2 linked regions of the Rattus norvegicus genome follow. The protein of the gene in region 1 interacts with the protein of each later gene in a biochemical or structural test. Links are inferred from orthologs where the notes say so. Each region holds a gene or a part of one and is shown on either strand. Other genes may lie near its edges.

Region 1 (4,368 bases):
ATAGTTTACTGATTGATGGATTGATTTTAAATGTGTATAGTGCATGGCGGTGGGGGGGGGGTCCCTCTCGCCTTCGACCATGTGGATCCCAGGAATGGAATTCAGGGCATCCAGCTCGGAGGCAAGAACCAAGTGAACCATCTCCAAGCTGGATCCAAGCGGATCCAGCCTTAAGGTTTGACACATATGGGTCTCTGCCTTTCTGGTTCTGCCTCAGTAACTTCTGACGACTTTGGAAAAATTTTCCTGGGCTATGGAGCAGAGAAGTTCCTATTGCTTAAAAGCCGCTCAGTGAGCTGGGCAGTGACTCGGAGAACTGTCCCCTTCCTCAAGCTGCAGCCTCAACTCTAGAGCAAGGGTCCCTTGGGACTGTTTGCTCTGCTTTGAGGAGCTTGAAATTTAAACTAGCTGTGAGGGCTGGCAGTAGTTCAGTCTCTGAGGTAGCTACAGGTGAGAGGCTTTTTTTGTTTGTCTTTTACCTAAGACAGGGTTTCTTCTCTGTCTAGCCCTGGCTGTCCTGGAACTCACTGTAACCCAGGTTGGCCTGGAACTCAAAAAGATTAGGTTGCCTTAGCATCCTGGGATTAAAGTCCTGTGCTACCACCACCAGGTAGACAGGTGAGTTTCTTAAAGGGTCCTCCATAAGATGGGTAACTCTTGGGAGCATCACTGGGCAGGGACACATTCATGAACGCACAGATGAATGCAGGCATAAATGAATGAAAAATTTCATCATTAAACGGCTCATATTAGGAGTTAACCACTTACACCTAAAAGTCCCCTGAAACCCTCAAACGTTTACCAAACTAATCAGTCTCCGTTTTACATCCGGTCCTTAATGAAACTCCTCAAACCTTTTTGGACAAACGAATACTTTAAAAACCAGTCAAAAGTGGAAGACCCAGATTACCCCTTCCCCTCCGAAGTCCCTTCTTTCTCCGCCCCTTAACGTGGGTGACCGGCGCAGCCTGCACAAACTCCTTTTTCCCTGTTGGGGATCCACCCCGGGCGTGCCAGGTACTCTTCCAGCCTTGAAGTTGGCCAGCACGTGTTCAGTGAGGTTAAGGGGTGTCTGGAGCTTGTTTCTTGGATCTGGCGCAGGTGAGGTCACTTCTCTGTTTCAGTCTCCATCATCTCGAGTCCAGCGCGCTAGTTCAGAACTGCAGGCCACCCTGGGCTAGGGCGACGGGCAGGCTAGCTGTCCCAAAAACACTTCGGACCACCTGTAGAGCGCGTGCCAACTCCTTTGTCCTTAGAGCCACTTCGACTGGAGCGCCTCTCAGCAAGGCGCTTCCCTCTGGATGCTGAAGGGTCCCTCCTTCCACTACTCCAACCCCCTCCCAGCCCTCCTCCCTTTGCCAACCCCTAGGTAGCAGCGCCCGGAGCCCCGGGCTCCGAGCGAGCCGCCTCCTCACTTCTCATTGGCTGAGGGCGTCGGGAAAGCAGTCACGTGGGCGCGCGGCAGGCCAGCTCCAGGGCCGCCATCTTGGCGGAAAGTTTAGGGGGAGAGCGACTGGGGGCGCGGAAGGAGGCGAGGTTCCGGGGGTGGGGCGGCCCGGAGGCGAGCGGGCGAGCGGGGCCGCGAGCGGCGGCGAGAGGGCAGGCGGCGGCGGCCGAGGCGGAGAGAGCGGCGCGGGGGTGCGGCCGCCGAGAGGAGCTCCTCCCCCGTCCCCTCACCCCCTCAGCTGAGCTCGAGTCGGGGCGGGGCGGGGTACGTGGAGCGGGGCCGGGCGGGGAGCTGCTCCGAGTCTGGCCGGAGCGCACCCGGGGCGCCCGCGTTCGCCGCTCGCGGGAACTTTGCGGCGGAGCCGCAGGTGTGGAGGCCGCGGAGGGGTGCATGAGCGGCGCGAGGGCGGCGCACAGAGCGGCGGCTGTCCGGTCCGGCCCCTGCTGGAGTCGCCGCCGGGAGGAGGCGAGCGAGGAGCCAGGCAAGCGAGAGGAGGGGGCCGGAGCGGGCCGGGGGAGCAACCCGGCGCTTGGCTGGGCGCTGCGCGGCTGGACACGGGCCGGCGGGCGGCAGCAGGTGGGGAGCGTGGCAAGCACGCCGCGGCGGCGGCCCGGCTGCTCCTCTTCAGGTGCTCTTTGCGGAGGGGGAAGCTCTGGAGGAACATTCCGAAGCGGGCTTGGGTCCGATCTTAATCTGTAGGGGGCATAGCGACCCCCGAGAACCGGCTTTCTGCCTTGGCTGACACTGCTGGGGGGGTTGAGGCTCCTGCTTTTCACTTGGGAAAACTTTGAAAGGTGGGCAGTTCCTCCAAGGTTGGAGTTTTTCCTAGTTGAGAGTTTGGGACGGGGGTGGGGGGTTTGGGGGGGAACGAATGGATCCACGGTTCAGTTCTTTGCCTTAGTTCAAGTTTTTCTTCCTGTTTTGTGTTTGTAAAGGTGTGTGTGCCTTCTTCCTGCTTCTGGGAAAAAATGCCGGTCCGGAAGCAAGGTGAGAATTTATTTTGGAACTGTTTTGTGGCTGTCACTGGCTGTAACATACATCAGTGTTGTGGTTACTGTTTTTAAAAGGATTGTGTGACTTTGATGAATCAGCAGGCTCTCGCCTTTATTCCTTACGGTATCTAAGCTCCACATCATTTCAGAGGGTGGAAACACCTAGTTCGCTGCACACACCTTCTCCACATCTGTAGTGATTACTGAAGCAATCAATCAGCCCCCTGCCATGTCTTTTTAAAAACTTCGTTGCTTCAGTATTTCACTTTTCATTCATAGCACCACTATTTTGTGAACAACTGAGAGTAGCTAAGAACCGATGTTTAAAAACTTAAAATTTGGTTATAGGACCAAGTTGGAGATAACTTGTTCTTGTCTATTAGGCATTCTAAAACCAAGTTGTTACCAGTTTAATTAGATGGTCTTTAAGTATTGGAGGCTGTCAGTCCACAGCCACTACTTTCTCCTTCCTCTAGTGTGATATAAAGCCTTTAAAGTATTTTCGTCTTAGCAGGGAATGGAATATGGTTGTAGCGCTGACCCCACTTGACTTGGAGGCTCTGGGGAACTCTTTAGATGTCTTGTAGACGTAGCATGTAGCACTTTCTTGTAAGTATGCATGCAGACACAGACCCTAAATATATACATGAAATTTTCACCGTACTTGTCTTTTCAGATACCCAGAGAGCATTGCATCTGTTGGAAGAATATCGGTCGAAACTAAGCCAAACCGAAGACAGACAGCTCAGGAGTTCCATAGAGCGGGTTATTAGCATATTTCAGAGCAACCTCTTTCAGGCTTTAATAGGTGAGAATTAAAACTGTTTTACTTGTGACCACTGTACTAATGCATGGTGCTTCTCTGTCATGTGAAACTTAGAATGACAATGTGCTTGGCTCTCCGGGGACGGCCATTAACTTGGAACATCTCTACTGTGCTTATGTTTTGCAGTAGGCCACTGTTGCTTCTAAAGGTATTTAATTACCAGAAAAAACTTACTGGTATGGTTATTTCTGTGCCCTCTGAGAATACCGTTTCAAGTTTTAGAGTTACCTATTGAAAGATGGACAAGTTGTAGAAATGTTTTAGGAACATCAATGGTTCCTGAACTATTGTTGGTGTTTCTGTAGTTGACTTGTATTTCTCTGGAATCCTTGAAGATATTTGAAGGGTTCTGCTGTGTTCGAGAGCAGTCATCTCTTTGATATACACCTCTGTTAAATTTGACATTCCTATAGTATGAGTTTTAGACCTGGAGAATGATCTCAGAGGTGATGTCTAATAATTATCTTATTCTACAGATAGCATTGTAACAGTCTTATTCTTACCTACCTGTATCTTAAATATGAGATAGTTCGTTGTTTTAAAGAGTTGGACAAGTAGTCCAAAGTCCTGACTAGTTCCTGACACGGTTAGTGATTAAATATCAGAGAGCCCATTCATCCAGTTTAGGCTGGTTAGTAACTGTAGACTGTGGGCGAGTAAGTGAAGAGTGGGCTTTTAAGACTTTTAAAGACAGCAGGTTCTTTTAAAAATGAAATTTCTGTTTTTCTCACCTGACTACTGAACCAGGTGGTTTATTGCCTCCAGGTTCAATAGTAAGATTAAAAAAAATTAAGTAAGGACTGTCTAACACGTTCAAATAAGACCTATGCTTTCTCTCATTATGTCCATTTTCTCAGTAACTTCCCAGCGGATAGGCCTCACACACGTGTGTGCTGATAGATTGATTACTGGTGTGATTTGAACACTGTTGTCAATGTGTGCCTTGTCAGATAACTTATTGCTCTATTGATGCTCTTTAGCCTTGTACAGGCTTGGTAGACCTTATAACTTTTTAGAGTTTAGTGTTACTACAGACTTAAAGACATGCATTAAGGGTGGGGAGAGGGTGAACTGCCAGTGTCACCCACCCATCCTCAGAGATT
Region 2 (2,970 bases), on another chromosome or scaffold:
CTGGCCACAAACACAGGACTGCTGTTTGGTTTCCACTGTACTTTGGAATCCCTGTTGCTACAGCTTCAGGGACAGGGGTGGAATTTCGGGTTGGGGGTTTAGGATATTTAGACTGGCCTGACTTCCCCCCCTCCCCCCTTTCAGGGGTCTGTTATTAGCAGTCCACGCCCTCACCAGAGGATGCCACCTCCGCCCCCACCCCCGCCGCCAGAGGAGTACAAGAGCCAGAGGCCAGTCTCCAACTCCTCATCTTTCCTGGGCTCCCTATTTGGAAGCAAGAGAGGCAAAGGGCCCTTCCAGATGCCACCACCGCCAACAGGCCAGGCCTCTGCCTCGTCTTCATCTGCTTCCTCCACCCACCACCACCATCACCACCACCACCATGGTCACAGCCATGGTGGCCTGGGGGTGCTACCTGATGGGCAGTCCAAGCTCCAGGCCCTGCATGCCCAGTATTGCCAAGGACCGGGCCCTGCCCCACCACCCTACCTCCCACCCCAGCAACCCCCTCTGCCTCCACCCCCTCAGCAGCCTCCACCCCTGCCCCAGCTGGGCTCCATTCCACCACCACCTGCCTCAGCCCCACCTGTGGGGCCACATCGACACTTCCATGCCCATGGCCCAGTTCCAGGACCCCAGCATTATACCTTGGGCCGGCCAGGCAGAGCCCCAAGACGAGGGGCTGGAGGACACCCTCAGTTTGCTCCACATGGCCGCCACCCCTTGCACCAGCCCACATCCCCGTTACCCCTGTACAGTCCTGCTCCACAGCACCCTCCTGCCCATAAACAGGGCCCCAAGCACTTCATCTTCAGTCACCACCCACAGATGATGCCAGCAGCAGGTGCAGCTGGGGGCCCTGGGTCCCGGCCACCAGGGGGATCCTACTCCCACCCTCACCACCCCCAATCACCACTGTCCCCACACTCACCCATCCCACCTCACCCCTCCTACCCGCCCCTGCCCCCACCCTCACCTCACACTCCACATTCACCCCTACCACCCACCTCCCCCCATGGCCCACTGCACGCCTCTGGGCCCCCTGGCACGGCTAATCCACCCAGTGCAAACCCCAAGGCCAAGCCAAGCCGGATCAGCACTGTGGTCTGAGGAATGGGATGAGTGTACTGGGGAACAGGATAGTCTGGGGAAATCCACAGGAGAGGGACCTTGCCCCTCACTTCTTCCTCGTTTTTTTCAAAATATATATACACTCAGCAGTGTCCTTCTTCCCACTTCCTCCATATCTCCAGACCCTTCTTCCAACCCCCAGCAGTTGCCATGGGGTCTCCTTTCAGATTGGAGGGCCCTTGCCACTCGCAGCCTGAGCATAGGGCACTGCAGTGCTGGGAAGCGGTAAGGGCCTCTCAGCAGCCCTCGTCCTCCCGTTCCTGTCTTCCTCTCCTCTTTCTTGTCCCTGGAGGTCTAGTTGGTGACCTCAGACCTCTGGACAAATGTGAGCTTCCTTGCAAGCTGATGGAGAAGGCAGGCTTCTGGAGCTGCAGAGGTGAAGGCTTTCCCCAGAGCTCCTCTGGCTGTGTGGGGCTAGGAGAGAGCTCTGTAGAGCTGTGGCCAAACCTCAGCTGGCTCAGCCCTCTGACCTCAGGGCCTAGCCACACACCTCCATGTGTCTTTCTGCCTGCTGGAGGACACATAGACCGTCAGTCAGTGCACTCCGTGGGTGGAACCCCGCTTGTGCTGGCCCCCAATGAGGGCAGTGCTTCCTCTCTTGAGCCAGTCTGTGCCCTCTCTCCTAATAGGCCCCAGCCCAGACCTCTTTGGCTTCAGGAACTTGCCTTGCCCTGCAATGTTCTTATCCTGATCAAAGTCCAGACAGGTTTTTACTTTGGAGGCGGGGGAGGGGGGGGCTCAGGTCTGGGATGAGAAGGGTACTGCCCTCCCTCACCCATATTGCATGCCCCCCCTTCCTTCTTTTCCCACCTTCAACTGAAGACAATGCACTTTACAGATACCACCCACACATATCTCACTGGGGCAGGGCACCCAGCATCAGCCCTGGGGAAAGACTCCCAGAGGACCACCCTGAGCCCAAGATGTCCTTCCTGAGGCAGAGATTGAAGCCATCAGAGCAGGGGCTGCGAGCCAGAATGCCCAAGCCCCTCTTGTTCATCAAAATCTCCACTGCCTCGCCAGCCCTTCTGCACCCTGTTTATTTATTATAAATATATTTTTTACAAGTCCCAGCTCCTCTTCTTGCCCTACATTCAGCTCCTTTCACAGTCCCTGCCTTTCTCTCCCCTGTCCAGTATGGGCTGCAATACAGACAGACAGATGGACCCTCTATGTCAAAGGGTCCCTGGGGCTTGGGGTTGTGGGAGGGTGTTGGTGGGAGGGACTTATGGAGAGGAGCTGGGGTTCAGACATTGTCTTTTTCCCTCCTTGTATATAAGAATGTATATTTGATGCCTCATAAAAGACCTTGTGCTCACCTCTGGCCTCTGCCTCCTACTTATGATCCCTTCACTGCCATGGAGCCCATGGAGAGATCCTAGTCCGGGGAGGTTCTAACGGTAATTCAGGCAACTGTGTGGGCAAGATGCTTTGGTTAGGTAGGAGGGTAGATGATGGTGAGGGTTTTCCTGTTTCATATGTTTCCTGTATGATGGTGGCAGGAGTGTGGGCTCTGGGGTTGATCCAGTTCACATCCTGTAGGTTTTACTTAGGCACAAGAGTTTCAGGGGATCATCCTCCAACTGTTTGTTACTTCAGTTTACCACTTGGGATGGCCATGTGTTGTTATGCTTTCTCCATGAAGCTTGCACACATTCATGTATGGATACACACATATACATAATTAAAAATACACTCCCTTAGAAAAAGAATATCTTCAATTCTGCCAGGCTGTCTAAACAGTTGCATGGAATCGTGATGACTGTGTAGTAATGAACGCCAAGCAGCTAGGGTGAAGCAGGTATTCAGCAAGTCAATTCTCTCATCATCTTTGTAGAA

The links. The genes of interacting proteins can lie anywhere in the genome.
Region 2: the proteins of Dlg1 (region 1) and Iqsec2 interact in a test that uses a peptide from one of them, tested with the Homo sapiens proteins (2 studies listed by IntAct, with this or other methods). The link is inferred for Rattus norvegicus from reciprocal best matches to the Homo sapiens genes DLG1 and IQSEC2.

What each region holds. Positions count from the first base shown.
Region 1 is NC_086029.1:82,604,939-82,609,306, reverse strand, and holds the start of Dlg1 (disks large homolog 1), read left to right. Parts: upstream 1-1,509; 5' UTR 1,510-1,928; intron 1,929-2,382; 5' UTR 2,383-2,415; coding exon 2,416-2,434; intron 2,435-3,115; coding exon 3,116-3,247; intron 3,248-4,368. UniProt on the Homo sapiens protein: Essential multidomain scaffolding protein required for normal development. Recruits channels, receptors and signaling molecules to discrete plasma membrane domains in polarized cells.
Region 2 is NC_086039.1:24,814,117-24,817,086, forward strand, and holds the end of Iqsec2 (IQ motif and SEC7 domain-containing protein 2), read left to right. Parts: intron 1-144; coding exon 145-1,110; 3' UTR 1,111-2,450; downstream 2,451-2,970. UniProt on the Homo sapiens protein: Is a guanine nucleotide exchange factor for the ARF GTP-binding proteins.